4 linked regions of the Drosophila melanogaster genome follow. The protein of the gene in region 3 interacts with the protein of the main gene of each other region in a pairwise test. Each region holds a gene or a part of one and is shown on either strand. Other genes may lie near its edges. The genes, in order: CG7386, eco, M1BP and Cfp1.

Evidence for each region.
Region 1: the proteins of M1BP (region 3) and CG7386 interact in a two-hybrid assay, tested with the Drosophila melanogaster proteins (one large-scale study listed by BioGRID).
Region 2: the proteins of M1BP (region 3) and eco interact in a two-hybrid assay, tested with the Drosophila melanogaster proteins (one large-scale study listed by BioGRID).
Region 4: the proteins of M1BP (region 3) and Cfp1 interact in a two-hybrid assay, tested with the Drosophila melanogaster proteins (one large-scale study listed by BioGRID).

What each region holds. Positions count from the first base shown.
Region 1 is NT_037436.4:6,187,918-6,192,596, forward strand, and holds CG7386 (uncharacterized protein), read left to right. Parts: upstream 1-1,827; 5' UTR 1,828-1,896; coding exon 1,897-3,207; intron 3,208-3,265; coding exon 3,266-3,943; 3' UTR 3,944-4,132; downstream 4,133-4,679. Other genes in the region: D19A, read right to left, coding at 1-55, 117-1,062; Sf3b6 (splicing factor 3b subunit 6), read right to left, coding at 4,564-4,679.
Region 2 is NT_037436.4:7,334,890-7,341,267, reverse strand, and holds eco (establishment of cohesion), read left to right. Parts: upstream 1-1,927; 5' UTR 1,928-1,958; exon of another isoform or gene 1,959-2,002; intron 2,003-2,022; 5' UTR 2,023-2,107; intron 2,108-2,226; 5' UTR 2,227-2,376; coding exon 2,377-5,330; intron 5,331-5,392; coding exon 5,393-5,597; 3' UTR 5,598-5,826; downstream 5,827-6,378. Other genes in the region: lark, read right to left, coding at 154-392, 498-1,199. UniProt on the Drosophila melanogaster protein: Acetyltransferase required for the establishment of sister chromatid cohesion and couple the processes of cohesion and DNA replication to ensure that only sister chromatids become paired together.
Region 3 is NT_033777.3:8,729,238-8,733,344, forward strand, and holds M1BP (motif 1 binding protein), read right to left. Parts: upstream 2,462-4,107; 5' UTR 2,346-2,461; coding exon 2,205-2,345; intron 2,137-2,204; coding exon 1,433-2,136; intron 1,376-1,432; coding exon 1,130-1,375; intron 865-1,129; coding exon 699-864; 3' UTR 553-698; downstream 1-552. Other genes in the region: ranshi, read right to left, coding at 1-246, 304-423; CG8202 (uncharacterized protein), read left to right, coding at 2,896-2,912, 2,979-3,069, 3,133-3,246, 3,307-3,478, 3,529-4,107.
Region 4 is NC_004354.4:9,269,927-9,274,710, forward strand, and holds Cfp1 (CXXC finger protein 1), read right to left. Parts: upstream 3,035-4,784; 5' UTR 2,964-3,034; coding exon 2,740-2,963; intron 2,678-2,739; coding exon 1,990-2,677; intron 1,929-1,989; coding exon 849-1,928; 3' UTR 508-848; downstream 1-507. Other genes in the region: aladin, read left to right, coding at 3,588-3,985, 4,046-4,330, 4,388-4,764. UniProt on the Drosophila melanogaster protein: Component of the SET1 complex that specifically di- and trimethylates 'Lys-4' of histone H3. Essential for Set1 association with chromatin and trimethylation of histone H3 at 'Lys-4' at transcription puffs.

The sequences.
Region 1 (4,679 bases), on a different chromosome or scaffold from region 3:
AGCTCTGTGTGGGCGTGGTCGATGTGAATGCGCAGCCCATTGGCGGTAGTGAAACCTGTAAGGTGGGATTTCATAGAGATCGGATACTTATATTTATACTTAAGCCAGCGTTATACCTTTCTTGCAGGTCTCCACCTTGCATTGGAAGGGCAGCAGGTCGTTGTGGTACTTCATGTGCTCCTCGTAGCGGATGGCCTTCTTGAACTTCTGGTGGCAAATGTGGCAGTCGATGATGCGGTGCAGGTGGCGTTCCTCGATGGGAATGCGCTTCCTCTTCGGCTTGTCGCCCCGCGATGTGCCGTCTTCGGAGTCATCTGATTCGGAGGATGAGTCGCTCAACTCCTCCTCCTCTGGCGGAGGCGGTTTTATCTTTTTGGGCCGTCCCCGGGGCCTCGGCTTGGGTTTGTCTAGGTTGCTAAAACGGTCCTGCTGGGGTCCTGATCCGGTAGCTGGTCCCCTCATGCGCTGGGCCAGCGGAATGTCATCATCGCTGCTATTTGGCTCGAAGTCCAGATCGTGGTCGTTGTCATTGCCGCTCTCGATGGACGAATCGTCGTCGAACATCTTGACGGAAACGTTGCCCCCGTCATCCTCCTCCACCTTGGCCTCCTTCTCCACCTCCTCGGCCTCCTTGTCGACGTGCTCCAGCATCTTGAAGACATCCTCCTCGTTCTCGATTAGCTCCATCTTGTGGTTCAGCAGCGGGTCATAGTTGACGTGGTCCTCTTCCTCGGCCGGGTAGTCCTGCACGGCAACGTTGGGATCGAAGACGTCGAAGCTGCTCTGGCAGGCAAAGACATTGCTGGCCACCAGATCCTGGAACTTTTGCACGGAATCGACGCACTGTTTCTGAAAGTCGTGCAGCTCGTTCAGCTTGGTGTAGCACAGGGTGCACAGGTTCTTCGGGAATCCGTCGTTTTGCTCCACGGACAGGGATGTGCAGAAGCATAGCTTCTTCGAAAGTCCTGGAACCAGATACAAATCGTAGGCGGCGTCGTTCTGCAGGTGGTTCAGACAGATCCTGCACAGGCTGTGGATCGAGTACTGCCTGCCCTCGTTCATCTTGCTTTCAATCGCAATCGGCACTGCGGATCGGGGCGGTTTTCTATAGCTTTTTGCGTCTCTCTCCGGTCAGTAAGCAATAAAATAATATTGACACAGAAAAAATTGTATACTCGTCGACTGGCAATCGGGCGAGTGGGCAATAAGCAAGTACTTCTGCCAGCGAGTTACTCGTCCGAGTGCGTAGTTGTTTTGCGTTTCAGGGCTGGACAATCAATGTTTTTTCTTACCTTCTTATTTGCAATTCTAATTAGGTTGCAATATACAAAAAAAAAAAATATATATATATACAACTAATTTAATTAAATAGATATTGCTTGTATACTTCAAATAGTATTTCAGGGTTTTTTAAAAATATTTTGCAAACTGAGCACCATAGTAACAAAAACGAAACTGAACTTACAATATATAGATAATGGTATGTATATATAGAAAAAATATAAAACAAATTTTTTTGTATTAGTATGTATATATAAACATGTAAAACAAATTGCTTTTAATAATAAGCAACGACATTTGAAAATATACAAACTGGGCATCAAGAAAATTTGATACGAAAATGAACGTACAAGATTTCTGTATCGAAATAAAGTCAAAAATAAATAATAAATAAATGTATTTTAACTAGACGCATGCATGGTCTTGCTAAAAAGCACTTACATTAAAACAAGTTAATATAAAAATAAGAATCCAAGTATGCTGTTTACTTGCCACCCCACTACACCGTAATGGGTTAATGGCATAGCGAAACGGTCAGACTGCCTGTCACACTGGAACAAATTTGTTTAGAAGCTTCGATTGTTATCTGCCCGAGAATTGAGGGAAATGGGCACTATGGAGCTCAAGTACTCCGTCCAATCGCTTTGTCTCACCTGCCTTGTCCACCTGAAGCATGGTGCTGGACACGATCTCTTCGTGGTTCCAGATCTGTTCCAGAAGCTCAGGGCGTGCACTTCGTTTGATGCGGATCAAAACGACGGTTTCCCGAGAAACCTGTGCACCCAATGTTTCACCAAGCTGAACGACCTGCATGACTTCCGCGAACTGTGCGCAGAATCTATTAAACGTCTAAAGGAAATGATGACCAGCCAGAGGAATATGCCCATGGGTGTATTCGAATCTATAGCTGATGATTCTGAGGCACCTGAAAGGCCAGAGGAGCCGGCCAGTTTCGATCCGCTGCTGAATAACAAACTAGAGATGATTGACAACGAGGAGGATGTGTTCAAGTTGCTGGAAAAAGTTGACAAGGAACTAGAGGAGCATTCAAGGGACCAAAGCGAGGAGCACTTCTCCAGTGCAGAGCACAACGGACTGGAGGAGGAGAAAAAGGAGTCGGAAGGGTTCAACAGCGACGATGAGCAGGCCATGGGGCAGCGACGGATTGCGAACGACAAGCGTAAACTGTTTCGCCTTATGAGCTGTTCCATCTGCCAGCAAAAGTTCAAAAAGCAATCAAAGTTCGAGGAGCACATGAAGCACCACAATGACCTGTTGCCGTTTCAGTGTCAGGAGGAAAGCTGCCGAAAGGGCTTCACCACAGCCGGTGCACTGCGTTTGCACGTGGACTATGCGCACTCCAAGAAGGAGGATACGGTTCCCTGCACCGTGGAGGGCTGTCAATTGGTTTTTTCCCGTCTCCGGCTGCTGACCATTCACTTGAAAAAGGTTCACAACCAGGCGAGGGTTATTGCTCCGCGGGGTGAACAGTCTTGCAAGGAATGCGGCGTGGTGTTTCGTTGCCCGGTGGCTATGAAGAAGCACATGTACACGCACACGGGCGAAGAGCTTCCCTATCCGTGTACCATTTGCGGCAAGGGCTTTTACATCAATAGTGCCCTAAAGAATCATCTTCTCCGGCATGCTGGCATCAAGAACTACGTGTGTCAGTACTGCGGAGTGCGAAAGACCACCCGCCAGGAATGGAGTAAGCACATTCTGATCCACACCCAACGGAACCAGTTTAAGTGCCGCATCTGCGACTATGCCACCCACACGAAGCGGGTGCTAGAGAGCCATGTTAAGATCGTACATGAGAAAATCCGGAATTTTGCTTGCCAGTACTGTGGAAAGACGTTCGGGAAAGCATACGCCTGCAAAATACACGAGATGGCGCACACTGGTGAGAAGCGCTGCGAATGCAAGGTAAGGGAATTACCATTATACCCTTGTTACCAAAGTCTGATATATTTTCGCCTTGCAGGTTTGTGACAAAAAGTTCCTGCATTCGGAGAGTCTCAACAATCATCTGAAGATTCATGAGAAGAGCGTGGAAAGGGCTCTGGAAACTTATAAACAGGTGCAAGTAAATGGCGATGCCAGTGACACTCAAGTGGACTCACATCAGCTGCTGAAGGTTTACGCCGAATCCGTAGCCAGCATTCCTAAGAATCCCCGCCGCGTAGAGCAAGTTGATGTGGCCCTATTGGCAGGGACCGCAGTGAATCCCACAGACGAGATTCAGTTTGTGCAAAAGGAGGGTATGTACTTGTGTCCCAGCTGCAGTCAGGGATTCAAGAGCATAGGCAACATGAAGCGCCACTACAAGAGCGTCCACGAAAAAGTCAAGGACTTTGAGTGCCGTTTCTGCTCCCGTCGCTTTGCCAACTCGCAATCCGTGAAGCAACACGAGTGGATACACACTGGCGAAAAGCCCTTCGAGTGTAAGACGTGTGGCAATCGCTTTCGCCAGGTAGCGGCGCTCATCCGACACCAAAAAGTCCATGACGAAAAGCCGGCGAAGCCTCTGGGGGAGAGAAATGACCGTAAACAAAAGGTTGAGGCACTACGGCAGGAAATTGCGAAGGTCGCCAAGAAGGAGCTCAAGGATTTGAAGAACCAACTGGCACTGGAGAAGCAGCAAGACACATACGAAAAGTAATAGGCAGCGGCAGCTAGCCAAACTGGTCCTGACCTTAAGGAGGAACCCTAATCGCAGAATAGTTTACGATTACATAGGGCAAAAGACTTCCCATAATAGTGGGAATTTTTATTGTTGGTTAATATTTAACTATTACTTGTTATCCTATTTCTAAGTTGTTAAATAAACTTGACCCAAATGACACACTTTAGAATAACTACAAATGGTTTTGGACTAAAACTAGTTTTAAAAAAAATTGGTCATAAATCGAAACAAACGATTCTAGTTTTTCAATTTTTTTTTATTTTTACTTTCACTTGCTTGTTATTTTGATGAGAGAGTGTCTTAATGTCGTCAAATGATTGCAAACAGTCGGAACCGGGCGCAAATGTCTGCGTTCCGCGATATCCGGCCGTTTATATGATAGATGGAGTGATGGATGGATGATAATGATTAGATTCAAATGATACAAAATGCGATCAAAAAAATCTACAAGTAGATAGCAAAAATTTGGTATACACATAAGCAGAGCAAGAAGTTCCCTAAACAATGGAAAATGGTCGATGGAAGTGGGGGCGTCATCTGGTGGGGCCCAATGTCTGGCTATGCCCCATCACCGCCTGCCGCACCAAGTGTGGGTTCTAAGGAGCTTCAGGCGTCTTCAGATTGTACTTGGCCTTAATGTTGTTCAGTTCCTCCTGTTTCTTGTCCATGTCCACGCGCTTGAAGGCCTTGTTGGATTGGTAGTAGAGCACCA
Region 2 (6,378 bases), on a different chromosome or scaffold from region 3:
CATTTTATAATTTCATCATATAAGCAAAGCACTATCTAGGTCTTAATATGTAAGTAAGTATGGAAAACGTAGTCATCTGATAAGAATTAACTTTAGTACACACATATTTGGAAAAGAAAGTGCGACATTTCATCCACTTGCAGGGTTACCTACCCGTAGCGACTCATTCCATTGCTGCTACGCGGCGGCGGAGGCGAGCGCCGGCTGAACATAGTGTCGTATCCACGAGAAACGCTGCAGGAGCGCAGGCTGCCGCTTAAGGTGGGCGGTAGAGGCATGGGTTCGCGGCGAGAGATGGGCGGCGGTGGGAAGTCGCGCATTCGCGAGGTCTGATAGCGACGCTCATACAGATCGCGTGAGTCCTCGAAGCGGCGGTCATAGTAGTCATAGTCCTGCGGGCGGGAAAACAAGATTTAGATTAGTAGCAGCACAGAATGTGAATAATACTTGGCACAATGGATGATTTGATCGGGGGGGCAAATGGATGCTGAATTTACCCTAAAGCCATCCATGATGCGGTCACGCAGGAACGGCGGCGGCGGTGGTGGCGGCGGATACGGGTCACGACCGTACATGCGATCTCTGTAGCCGCCGGCGCTGAGGGGCGATGGCGGCTCGCGTCCGCCTCCGGCACTGCCGTACAGTCGCGGACACTCTTTCGACCAATGCCCGGATCTTCCGCACCGATAGCACTGCTCCGGATCGCCCATGCCCGGCTTGGGGCGGACCCGACTGGTCGACACTTGAACCTTGAGCGGCTGGCCATCGACAACGCGACCGTTCAGCTCCTTAATGGCGTCCTGCACATCACCGACACAGTCCAGATGGACAAAACCATAGTTGCGCACAATGTCGCATTCGACGACGGTGCCGTATTTCTGAAACAGTTCCCGCACCTCCGGCGCCCGCGTCTTGTCCGTTAGATTTCCCACGAAGATTTTCGTGGTCGGCGTATTGGGCGCCCGCCGGCTCTTGGCCGCCTCCACCTTGATGGCGAACTCGTTCAGCGTATAACCGTTCAGATTCTGTATGGCATCGCGACCCTGCTGCTCCGTCTCCATGTGAACGAAGCCATAGTTCTTCACCACGTCGCACTCGACGACGGTACCGTACTTCTCGAACAGTGCACGCAGCTCGGTGGCCTGTGTCTTCTCGTCAAGATTCCCGATGAATAACTTGAACGTGCCGGCTCCGGGCATGGCGGCAGCGGGTTCCGCTGCGTGGTCGTCCACGGTTATATCGTTTATATCACTCTGGGTGGGGTAATCCCGGAAAATGGATATCTACGCGGCGGCGGCGGCGGCGGCTGCGTCGAAAATATATTTATATATATTTGCCTATATGTTTGTATGTATATACCGCGGTTGGAGGACGACAACGGCGACGAACAAACGCGATACCTCAAGAGAAGAGAGAAGACAGTGCAATTGTTTTCTATTTTAACCAATACGAGCAAAGGATAAACATTAAGGCAGCAGCACAAGGAGCGCGAGTAATCTTAATAAACTCGGTTTTAAATCGCATTATTGGCGTTGTGGCCTAACGCATACATAAAAAAAGATGGCGGCGGCTAGAGTTCACATTTTCTCACGGTTCTCGTTGGCGTGGCTTTCAAATGGCGGTACGGATAATGTGGGGGAGCTAACTTACCTGATCGGCAGCGGGCTTTGGCTGCAAATTAAATTATAAACGCAGAGCTTTATACTTTCTACTTTCCAGGCCGAGCAGCAGATTTTTCCAAATCGATTCGCACTTCGTCCGCAATATGACCGTGTGACGTCTGGAAGAGTGTGACTGAGTCTGACTTGGGTGGAAATACCAGATAGAGTTTTCCCGTTATATGATCACCTTAGCTCTGTAAAAATACCGGATAGTTAAAATAATACGGAAATCTTTAAAATATATGAAGATTAGAAAACATAGAATGTCTAGCGATCATGATCGTAACTCGTTAAGTGGTACTATATTGAATACTTTGTCTTGGATCAAGAATATAATTAACATTACTTATTTATTTTACAGAAATCGTAGAATAAGTCCAAATAATTTACGAAAAACTGCAAGCTGACTTGATCGCTTCGAAGAAAAATGTTAAATGTAAAATGTGGTAAAAAAATTATAACTAACAGAAAATATTTACATTGCAATGTATTTGATTTTTATAAACATTGATGTAAAAAAAATTTAAAAACAATGTAATGCATTTAATATATATAAACATTGCAGTAAAAACATAGACGATCTGGCATGTGTTGGCAAACGACCGAAGAGACCCTGAACGATCCAACCACCCCCAACACTAGGCAGCTACAAAAAAGCGCGAAGGAGTCACAATTTGGACAAAGTTAATGCGAAATAAAAGATTTGCGCGCGATCATGGAGACCCCGACGGGTAGTGGGCGTCCCAGTCGCATGGCCACTCCGCGCCTTTCGGAGCGCAAGCGGCAACTGTTTGGCAGTCCCAGATCCAGGCTGCGCCAAATCAACGACGACGAGGATGATGCGGACGTAGACAGTCTGGGTGTCTTGCCATTAAAGACCCATGTGGCGGCCAACAGGAAGGGCAGGAGTCTCTTCGCCGCAGTCCCCGGCAAGTCAAGCAGCAGTGCGAACAGCAGCCCGGAAACCAACAAGGAGAACAAAAAAACCCGTGGCGGAGTCATGACTGCCACGGCGGAGCAGCTGCCCCAATTGTTTACAGCCACCATGCGGCTAAATAGCAACAGCAGCAGCAATAGTCGCAACAGCAGCCCCCGTCAGACGAGGGTCCAAAGAAAGCGAGCGGATTCTTCAATGTCGTCGCCCACCTCTTCCTCTGAAGGAACTCCTTCTTCCAGAGCCAGAAATAGCATCAGACGCAGTCCACGAACCTTCAGTGCGCAAAAGGATCCAGATGCGTTCTCCTCGCCAGAATCTTTTCAGACTAGGCTAAGCAAGGTGGCAGCTATGCTAATGAAGGGTCAGGATTCAAGATCAATGTTAGAAAAATCAAAGAAGAAACACAACCACAGCCTAAAGACCACTGCCCAAGTGCATACAACTAAACCGAAGAAAACGAGCCCAGCTGAAGAGTCCCAGTCGGACGACGAGAAACCTTCTAGCAGTAAGAACTCCAGGAAGAATACAGAAGTTCGTGAAACAAGGAGCTCGCAAATCATCAGTCCAAAAACCAGGAATAGGCGAAGACCCTTCACGTCGGCGGATATAAACTGCAAGACGCTGAAGGCTGCTGCCCATCTACATGAGAACATGAGGTCGTATGATGAAGAAAAAACAGCAGCAGTTAAGCTAGAAAACAGCAGAAGCAGATCCAAGTCCCCGGTAGAAGTGTTCAAGTCAAATGACGATGCAGTAAAACGAAACACAGGAAACACCAACAATAAAACAGCGAAATCTTCCGAAGTTGCCACAGCAAAAAGGCCAGAAAGCCCAGGAAGTAGTATGAAGATTGATGTCGAAGTGCCCGAATCGGACGAAGAAGCATCCAATCATAAGCCTCAAAAGCGACAGCACCCAGAAACGTCCACCCCGGTTGCTCCTTCAGCGGACGCCGACTCTGGTTCGCCGCAGAGCAAGATGCGCAAGGTGACGCTGAGCAGCAGCATTCCCACCATGGCCTTCTATTCCCACAGTGGAGAAGCGGTCACAAAGTCAAGAAGGCGGCCGTCCATATCCAAGAATTCGCTTAAACAACCAACGAAAATCTCGCCAACCTCCCGTCCACTATTGGGCATTAATAAGGGAGTTCACCACAAAATACGCAAGCGTCACGGTTTTGCCAACCGACTGCCAGCCACCGATATGGACAACATTCTCAACTCGCTGAGCAACGAACGGCTCAAGAACCTGATCACCACCAAGCGTGAAGAGCGCGCCAAAGTGGAGGAAGTCCACCAGATTCTCCGTAATGCCAAGGACCCGATCAAAATGGCCAAACCATTGAGTGTGATTGAAGCCGACGATGCTAACAACAATAACAATCTGCCAGCAACCGCATGGCAAGAAACTTCCGCCGATTTCTCCGATCTTAGTGATGTCGAAGACATTGATCCCATCATCGAGGTGGAGCCTATCATACCAATAATTCGCCACGAGCCGGTCCAGAAATCCCCAACCGCCGAGCCAGCCGATCTAAGCAAACGAAAGTTCTTCAAATCGGGCCGCCGTAGTAGCACCTGCATGGAGGTGAGAATCACGGACAACATCCGGGCCAGCGTCAGCCAGGGCAAGATTGAACTCGTCCAAACGATACGCCGTAAGCCGCGGCAAGTGCGCGTCAAGTCGGCCACGATATTTTCCGCCGAGCAGGCGACTGTGGATGCGATCCTAAAGAATCTGGACGATACGGTGGTTGATGAGATTGTAGAAGCGAATCCGGTGGTACAGGCAACGCCCATTGATGCGGAGGAGACGACCATGGAAACGGAGTCGCTACCGGATATAATTGAGTATGCCCCAGAGGCGAACGATGTGGAAATTGATCCCTTTGCTGAGTTCCGTCAACGTTTGCCATACCAAACCGATGATCCCAATGTCGTGGAGCAACAGCAAATTTTACTAGAGTTTCTCATTAGCAACAATATTTGCACCGAAAAGAACTTTGAGATATTTATTGCAAATCCGGATGACTACAAGGACGAGGCCAATCAAATTGTGGACAATTTATACATGGTGGTGAACAGCGAGGAGGCTGCGCAGCTTGCTCAGATGGAAACAGTGGAAAATACAGCGGTGGCCATTGCACCAAAACAGGATGCGCCAGCAGTAGAGGAAGTTCAGCCAAAGCTTTTCCCCATATTCACTCAACGCTTACAGCCCGTTGTCCAGAAATCGTTGCGGCGTCGGCCGGATACATCGATGAGATTGCTAACGGCGGCGGGTGGATCGAATCAGTACCAGATCGATGCTGGTCAAAAGGCCTTCGGAGCACGGCAGTGCCAGCAGTGCGGATTGGTGTACACCGTGCACGAGCCGGAGGAGGAGCTGCTTCATCGCGAGTACCACAATTCCATCCATGTGCTGCGCTTCAAGGGCTGGATCGACGAGGACATTGTGTCCGTTTATCCAGAATGGGCCAGCGACGGGCGCATCATACGGATCAACGAACGCGCTCCGACAGCTCGGCTCGACAGACTGCGGGATCTCATTGGTGTGGTGGACAAAGAGCTGGGCTATTCCTCGTACATTGTGCCAAAGATCTTTGTAGCCTTCATAGCAGTGCGCAAGCAGCAGATCGTAGGCTTCTGCCTGGTGCAGCCCCTCTCGCAGGCCCATCGTTTCATCCAGGTCGATGGCACGGACTACTTCAGCGAGGAAAGCTACCCGGCCAGGTAAGACATCCCCTACTGCATGCCCCTTCCCTTGTCAACGGCTAAAATGTGCCTTCTTTCAGCTGCGGCGTCTCACGCATCTGGGTTTCTCCGCTGCAGCGACGCAGCGGGATCGCCAGCAAGCTGCTGCGAGTCGTCCAGTGCCACACGGTGCTCGGTCAAGAGATCGCTAGGGAGTGCATTGCCTTCAGTACGCCCACCGACGATGGTCGGGCTCTGGCACGCCAGTTCACCGGGTTGGATAACTTCCTCACCTACGACCAGTGATCGGGGAAATCTATTGAAGCTATTGAATAGCTGGATTGTTTTTGAGTTAGGATTGCTTCGAAACCTGTAATAGTTGATAAGCAAGTGCGATTATGTTACTAGCGGCACGAAGACGCGCAATTTAACATGTTTACAATGGTGGTTTAATATGCCTGTTTTTACGCAATGAACACGATATTTTCTTCGAGTCGCATTAATTTTGAAAATATAGATTAATATTGTTTATCTTACGTGTCGGGTTTTAAAACATGTAAATTTGGTGTTACAAAAATAGCACATACGTTAATTTTTAAATTGTATGTTTATAAACATTGTTTAATATATTTAAATTCTAACAAATAACTTAATGTCTAAATGTATGCAGTAAAAAATTTACACAACCTGCACTTGCGATCGATGAATGGTTATCGATCGCTTGCAACCATGCGGCGAGTCCACAAAGTGCCATCACTAGCACACTGAGCCTGGCTTTTGGGCGTTGTTTTCGTAGCAGCAAAGTGGCTGAAATTAATAACATTTAAGAGCAGAAGTGTGTAACACACCTGAATGGGACTTGTGCCAATCTCAGTGACCACCAATCGCGCGCAAATGGTAAGTGCAATCCGCATATAAGCTGCTAAGTGGGGAGCTGCTGGTGCTGCTAGTTAGTTTACTTTGGTGACGCCACGCCCAATGTGACAAATTGGAATCGGTGGCAATTGGTTTCGGGGTGCAAGTGGCATGCAGCGTGGTGGTTGAACCGCTTTCTCACTCTTCTTCCCCTGCCCTCCAGACCATTGAG
Region 3 (4,107 bases):
CCCTTCATTGAGATCGTCTAATCGCTCGACTTCTATGCTTATTTCTGCCAGATCCAGTTCCAACTCCTCCTGCTCAAGGACACTTTTGGGAGATTCCTGGCAGATTCTAAGGAAGTCTTCATCATCTTGGGAATGGAGCAACTCCCTTTGGACTTCCAAACAGCGTTCCCTAAAGGATATGGCTTGTTGCAAACAAGTTTGGCAGGACGCACATAGTCGATTTGGCAACGTACTACAGTTCTTTAACTGTAAAGAGAAAAAACTTTAGAAAGTTAAAGACACTACGCATTATTATCCTCTCACCACAGCTCCAGTTAGTAGTTTGATGTGTTCCAGCGTAGTTTGATTGCGCTTTTCAAAAATATTCAATGATCTTTCAGCATTCGTGCGCTTGCCGCAAGTGCGACACACTTTTCCTTCCATTTTTGAGCCGATAAAAAAGTTTGAAACGCCAAACTTTTTGTAAACAATGCTATGCTTGTCAATCAGCTGTTCCGTTTGCCATTCGCATGGAAGCAATTTTTACAGATGAAATAAATGCTCATAAGTTGGGATTTGAAGTTTTGATTTATTATTCAATATTAAGTTCTACATATTACAATTGGTTTGTTAATTATTTGCAGAAATGCTCCTTGGCTGTGCGCCATTGTCGGTCTAGCATTGCCTGTAATTGCTATGTATATATTATAAGGACAGCTTTAGATGTGCAGGCTGTCCTCCTCCTCCTCCTTGAGTTCACGTTTCTGCTCCTGCTCCAGGACCTGTTTCATCTCGGCTTTCTCCAGATGCCGCTTGTGTACGCCAGACCGGAAGTGGGTGCTCAGGTGGGTGGGCAGCATAAAGGACTTGTCGCACAGCTCGCACCTTGAGGGGAAGATTCAGTATTAGATGGCATTTCAAACATTTCAGTAACTGTACCAGTATCACTAGTTTCATATTATTATAAGAAATTATTATAAGATAACTAAATATTACTCACGAAATTTGGCAACATAAGTAATATTTAGTTATCTTAACTCTCATAAGGTTTTGGAAAACTCTTGTAATGCCGCATAATATGATCTTAGAATTTCTAAGAAACCTAGTTATTGGGTTTCCCGGTACTGTGTAGCTGTATGACTCAACGTACCTGTAGGCCCGCTCGCCGGAATGTATCAGCATATGGTTCTTAAGGATGTAGCCGGTAGTGAAGGCCTTGCCGCAAGTACCACAGACGTAGGGGCGCTCATTGGTGTGGGTACGCTCATGCTTCACGCGCGTGGTGTAGTCTGTGAAGCAGCGGCCACAGTACTTACATGCAAACGGTCGCTCTCCGGTGTGCTTGCGCATGTGGCGTTTCAGCTCGGAAGTTGTGCAGAAGCGCGACTGACAGAGTCTGAAAATAAATCCATTTAGTCATACTGTATCCAAAAAGGAGTAGAAATGTACTCACTCGCAGCCAAATTGCTTGTCCCCACGATGGCGACGACAGTGAAGTTCAAAGGCCATGCGTCCCTTGATGTGATTGCCGCACTGCTCGCAGATGTATACTCCGCCGGTGCCACGACGACGCGCATCATCCGACCGGACCTTTGGCTTTGGCGGCAGACTACACTTCTTGACGACAATGTTTTCATGCTCGTACTCATCATCCAGCACGTTGTCAAGAACGGCCACCTCATCATCCGAATCGTAGACGTACGCGTCGTTGACGTCGCCCACAATTAGCTCGGTGTCTTCGTCCAGCTCCAACGTTTGCTGCTGCTCTTCGTCTTCGGCCATTATGGAATCATAGTCGGCCTCTTCAATCAAGGAGGCTGCGTCGTCCTCGCCGGCGTGTCCCTCGGCCACCTCGTAGTAGGTATTATCGTACTCTACCTTGGTGTCGTCGATCTCTTCCTTAGGTTCTTCCAATACGATTTCCTGATAAGTGGCATAGACCTCATCATCGTCGGGCGTCTTCACCGTCTGGACAATATCCTCGCCCATGACAGCCGCCCGGTAGAAGGCCGAGATGCCTTGGCGTTGCTCCTCGGTCAATCCCAAGAGTAGCTCACGCTGGGCGGCGATGCAGCGCTCCCTCAGCTTAACGGCGGAGGCCAGTTCCATGCTGCAGCATTCACATATCTGATCCGGCAGGCAACCGTAGTTCTCCAGCTAGATTAAACACCAATAAATTAAGCTATAACTACATAAATTCCATAAAGCCGCAGTGAAAAATTTACCCGAAGGCCTGTGAGCGCCTCAATGTTGTCGATCATCTTTGTGTTGCTCCGCTCGAATAACTTCGGCGACCGCTTGTTGCTTGCATACTTTGCGCATACGCGGCAGGTGCTCTTTAGGTGTTTCAGCGCCGATTTCGACATTTTTCATTCGCAATCCGAAATGAAATCGTTTTTAAGATATTTGTGAACACAAAAAATAAACGCGTCGCTTGTCAACTGCATTTGCCATTCACCCGGTGTTTCGTGTTAATATTTGCCATTCGCCCCGAAATAAACATATTTTCAGTGGCGTAGGCAAAGGGGTTCATATGATGCCAAAATATATATATATCCTCGAAAATGAATTACTTTGTTAACGTTAGTATTATATATTGCTTTGATATTTAACGGATTTGCATATTTATTATACTCCAATAATATCACATATAAATTTGAATTAATTTGTTTTATAATTTTAAATTTATAAAATTATAAATAAAATCTTTTATTTAAATCTTTAAATTAAATCTTTTTTATAAATTAATTTCTATAGAGCTGCAAGCGAAACGAAATATATACAGTAGAACAGGTTCTAAGCTAAAGTCCCTGGAATTAGTACAGTTTCTTTGGTGTATTTCATCCCTGACCGGCTACGTCCATGTCATGTTGGCAAGCAGCTGTCAGGAATGCCGACAACAACAACCACGACGCTATGGCGAACTTGGAATGGTAATTTATTTATTTTCCCCCGAAAATAAACAAATAAGCATTGATAACCATTTCTCCTGACTGCAGGGTGTGCGTGCCGCGATGCTACGAGGTCCGGAAGAATTGCCTGACTGGGCAGGCCACGCTGGAGCATCCCCTAAAGCAGCGGACGGTGACGGTGGGTAAATGGTACAACGCCCTTATCTGTAAGTGATTTTAATGAAAGAACAATCTCCACCAGGTGGTGGACAGCAATCCCTTGAGCCGAGCTCTAGAGGGCACAGATCCGCTCTCGCAGTTTGCACGCCAAGATGATGAGCTCAACGATCCGCTCAGTCAAATGGTCAGCGAATTCGTAAGTAGAGTGGTGCACCGGCAAGGAACATGACTAAGTTTTTCGCACTTGGATGTTCAGGATCTCAAGTCGAAGCGTCGTGAACGGGACCGAACGGAGCCCGAGGACAACACACTGCAGTGGAGCAGCCGACGACTAGGCATCCTCAACCGCTTTACAACCAATGAGAAGCTATCGCTGTCTACCAGCTTTCTGGTGTCATCTGGTAGCCTGGATGGCGGCAACGAAAGCAGTAAGTTCAGTGGTCGGTTGATCTGTGATATATATTAACAACAATCATAGTTAAAGCACAAACGGTGGTGGCCGACAAGACAAAGTTTCGCTTGGAGCAGTTAGACCACTTCGACGATGGCAGCATGCGTCACATGATGGATCTTACTCAGCAGGAGTACATTCAGCGGTTTGAGCAACTCAAGCAGGAGCTGATCCAGTCCTGGCACAACGATCAGCGAGTAAAAGCGTTGAAGATAGCCATACAGTGTGCCAAAATGCTAGCGGACACCACTGTGCTGCAATTCTATCCGAGTCAGTACGTTCTTATCACTGATATACTGGATGTTTTTGGAAAATTGGTATACGAACGACTGCGTGCTAAGGCCTCTGGAGATCCTGCCGCATCGGCGGCCACATTAGAGCGGGAACGGGAAGCTGCCCGGGATACGTGCCAGAATTGGTTTTATAAGATCGCCTCGATTCGTGAGTTACTGCCGCGTTTTTACTTGGAGCTGTCAATATTCAAGTGCTACGAGTTCCTGTCATCATCGCGCGAGGAGTATGAGCGCATTTTGCAACGTTTGACCCATCAACTGAGGGGTATAGCTGATCCTTTGGTATCGAGCTATGCCCGCTGCTACTTGGTGC
Region 4 (4,784 bases), on a different chromosome or scaffold from region 3:
TGTAGAAAAGTTCCGGACAACGACTGGCATTTTTGACAGTTCGTCTGGGGGAACAGTCACAAATCGCCACGACTACTTGATTGCCCGGGTAGCCGGATTCGTTCAGACTCGCTTGAAATTTCCACTGCACTTGTGCGTCCTGACATTCCTTTTGGCTCCCAACTACAGCATGCCCACTCTAATCCATAGCCTCCATCGTTTTCAAGGTCCTGCCGTTTCCAATGGTTGCCCCCCGCTCTTCATTTACCCGGAACCATTGTTTCGGATATCAAAACCCGGACTCGGTGGCCTATGTCTATATGATCTTCAAAATATGTTGAGCGTAGAGTATTCTTTTTTTCATGACTTTGTTTAATGCAGTAATATTAACCTGCATTATTAAAAAAAGCCTACAGCTTAAGAAAATGTATTTAATATGCTAACTTATTTTCTAGATTATTTCTAAATACAAACTAACAATGAACAGAAAACAAATCGTATATAGAAATTATAAATAACTTGAATCCAGCTAATAAACTAATATTAAGGTGTGTGCTAATGTAATCCATGTGAATGATATCCACGGTTGAGCTGGCCTAATGTATTAATAGCATGTTGCTATCAATAAATGCATATTTGATGCTTAGTTTTCAATAACAAACATGGGCGTACCGCCGATCCCGGCGCGTAGCAACCTACTACTGGCCGGGAAGCGGACCCAACAGCTGGCGAGCGTGTTATGCGGTTGCCAGGAGAAAGGCGACACTAGAAACTTTGCGTCGGGTAAGTCCAAAGATTACTGTCGTAGAAAAATATTTCTTGGACGTCAGTTTATTGTTAGTTCTTGCTATGATTAGGGGACTACAAATCTATGTTTTTTTCTGCAGGTATATAATTTGAGTTTTCTGTGGTATTTGGGCCTTCTTTTGCTGCTGCTGCAACAGTTGAAGTTGAAGTTGCTGCAGATGATGTGGCTTCAATTGCAGTTGCTGTTGCTCCTGCTGTTGTTGCTGCTGCTGTTGTTGCTGCTGCTGTGGTTGTTGCAGCTGCTGCTGTTGTTGCTGCTGTTGTTGTTGCTGCTGCTGTTGTTGCTGTTGCTGTTGTTGCTGCAACATTAGCTTCTGCTTTTCCTGGTACTGTTTCTGCTGTGTTTGTATTTGTTGCTGGTGAGCCAGGCGTCGCCTCTGCTTCTCGAACTCTACCAGATGCTCCTGCTGTTTGCGCACCAGCTCGTCCATCACCTCGTGGTTGTAGGTGGAGTGCAGCATCAGGCCGAGCAGGTTCGCTCGCGAGGTGAGCTGCTGCCGCATCACGCGCTCCTGCTCCATCAGGTCGTCCATCTTGAGCCATTGACGCACACGCTCCAGATCTATCTCAGCACGCCGGATCTTCTCCCAGGCGTAGTGCTTGAAGCAATTCTTCTTTGGCGCACGACAAAACTCGCCCGTGGGATTGAAGACGTTGTTCACTAAGGGCGAACCACACACATCCGTATCGTTCACCTTCGGATCCTTGCTGTGCTCCGGACACAATACTCTCAATCGCTTACAGTAAGTCTTACTTGCCGGATTGTAGAAATCACAAAACATATTGTTTCCCTCCATTCGCGTTTTGAATATGCTCCCGAAGCTGGCCTGCGATTCGTATTTGTTGAAGCACTTCTCCATATGCTTGATGGCAGTGCGCGAGTGAATCTCGTGGCCACAGGTGATGCAGTACATGCTCTGTTCGTCCTCCATGTCGGCGGTGTCTTGTGACCCCAATGTATCAATGGAGCTTCGTTTGGCTCGCTCCACCACCATGTTGAGCTCTTCGGAGCGCTTCTCTAGCTCGGCAAGTGCGAAACGCACCAGGGACTGCTTATGACGAATGTTATCAAGATGCTTGCGTGTTTCCTCGGCGGCGCGGCTGGGCGTTAGATTCCACTCTTGCAGTCGTTGCGGCAGAACCTGAGAGTGTAAAGGACTTTGGTGTTTAATTGTCATAGTCTGGCCAAAAAATGAAACTAACCTGGAAGATGCGTTTTGTGGCCAGATTGAAGCCACACTTATCGCTGCAGTACTTGCTCTGCGGTCTCGCATGGGAGCAGCAATTGGGTCCGTAGCACTGCCGGATGCCTTGTAGCTCCGGATTGAGGAATATCTCCGGACTGGCCGCCCGCGGGCCCACTTGGACATTGCGACTCTTGGGTGCCGCCTTTTCCCGCTTCCTACTTGGGCCGGCTTGAGTTGCCTGCGACTCCTTTAAGACCGTCGCCGCCTGGACAACGCAGGTGCGGAATATGCAGCGCGGCTTGTGGCCCACGCGAACGCGGCACGCGTCGCACTGGTTGCAATTGGGACGCCGGCATCCCTCACAGGTACCACAACGTTTGCCCATCTTTGGTTCTCGGGCGCTGCTGTTTTTGCGCTTCGCTGCCGCAGTGGTCGGTGGCGGCGCTTGCTGGCTGGTTGTTGCGGACGCCACCGGTGCAGCAGCAGGCGCAGCTCCCGATGGACCTACGCCCGGGGCATTGAGACTTGTAGAGGCGGCGTTCGATGCGGCTGCCCGTTCGGTGGCCACCAGGCGGAATATGGTTTGTAGTTCGGGATTCTCCTTTTTGCAGCGCCGGCAGTAGTACTGTTTGATGTGTTTAGCCTCCTTCTCGGTGATCCCTATACAGTCGCCGTGGTACCACTCCTCGCAACCATCGCAGCCTCTGGAAAGCGAAGGGTACAAGTAGTTAGCCGGGATCTAGCCCTTTAAGGCCATTCAACTCACATCATGAACCTGGAGCAGTCGGAGGAGCGGCATATGCAGTACGCTTGGTCTTCCTGCTTTAGAATGGTGGCTATCTTGGACTTGCGCTCAGGCAAATCAAATTCCCGTGCGATCTCCCGCCTGATTTCCTCTTTCTGTTTGGAAACCTCCTTTGTAGTTAAAAATATGATTGCCGTGCAGCGGGTGAAACTTACGGTCTTCTTATATTTGCGCTTGTCCGTCATCTCGCAGCAATCTTTCCGACAACAAATCCAGTCCAAATCCAAATCCGTCAATTAAGTTTCATGGAATTTTTTTTTGCGATGGAGATGGTGAATGAAAGGATATCGATAGCCTACTAATAATGTATTGCAGACAATCGATAGGTTCTGGCCTAATAAAATATATAATATTTAGCATAAAACTACGTTGTAGATTTTAATTGATGTATGACTATACAATAAAAACAATTTTAGGTATTTATTGTAAGCTGTGTATAAATATAAAATGCTTCGTAACACTTATATCGAGAGAACTAATTCCATAGTCTTAATAACAAACGATAGTGTGTTCGAGATCTATGAGATTAAATAGAGTTCTTGAAAGAGAAACAACGTGAATATAAAACCTACAAAAGATTGTTACTTTATATATACCTAATTTTTATTTTTCGATAATCTTTAAGATTTTGCCGCGGCCCAGTATTTTCGAAGTTTCGTAAAATTAAACATCGATAGAAAAATTAAGCATCGAATTACCACTGACATTGTCGGCTTTTTCTCACCTCTAATAACCGCGCGGTTTTTTCTTTGTATTTCGTTACCATTTTTTCTCAACTGAACTGAATTGAATGTGAATAGTCTGCAATTATGGCGGCCCTGAGCAACCTAAAACAGTGTCCGCCGTTCTCCACGCTGCCGGATCTGGCGCTGCGGCACAATCACATCCCAGAGCTGGAACGCTATCCGCAGATAAACCTGAACAGCGAACTTCTGGCCAATCCGGCTGGTCAGCGGTACTACGGCGGACAGAGCTTCGTATCTGTGAATGAGGGTGTCCTAAAGCGCATAGCTCGCAGCTTCTTTAATGGCGGATTCTGGAAGACGCTGGAGGAGGCACGCAGCCCAGAGACCAGGGAGCAGGCGCCGCTTATTGCCCAGGCGGGTGATTTAATCGCACAATTTCTGGGCCTGGCCACCGGCCTGAGGATCCTCCCGCACACCCAGCAGCTTAGTGCAGAGCGTATTGCTCAGTTCGTGGAGACCAGGTGGGTGGGGCGCAGCCAACTGACCAATAATACCTAAACCTTACTGTCCCATTCATTCAGGGATTGGCTCAACAGCGATGTGCGCTATCTTGCCTGGAATCAGCACTTCTTTTGCTTAGCCGTAGCCGGTGTAGACGATGTGGTGCGCATCTACACAAAGAGTTCCAGTGCGACCACTGCCACTGTTTTAAAGAGTCCATCCCAAACGCAGATCACCTGCATGGCGTGGCGTCCACTCTGCGCTTCCGAGATCGTGATAGGTTGTCGGCAGGGTCTGTGTTTCTGGGAAGTGGACAGCACTTTGCATTTGGGACGCACAAATGCACCCAGCGAGATTTTTAAATAGTCAGTATAGAAAATTTATCGTTAGTTGGTAAATACATAACTTATTTTCCCTTTTAGCCCAAACAATCTGCCAATAACCTCGATGCAGTGGAACAAGGATGGCACCCAGTTGGCCACCGCCTCAATAGGAGATCGTTCCATTATTATCTGGCAGCCGGACACCGGAATGATGCAGCCACTCAAGCGTTTGGGTCCGCCGGGCTCGCTGCTGAAGTGGTCGCCGGATAATGACTGGCTGTTCGCAGCCACCGTGGATCGGGTGTTCCGCGTGTGGAACTGCCACCAGCAATGGACCACCGAGCGATGGGTGTGCGGTCCCGGAGGCTATGTCCAAACAGCCTGTTGGTCGCCCTGCGGTCGCTTCCTGCTCTTCGTCAGCAGTGCCGAACCGATTCTCTACCGCCTGCAGTTCGTGCAACAGAGTCTGCTATCCTGTAAGTACGAAAGCTTTGAG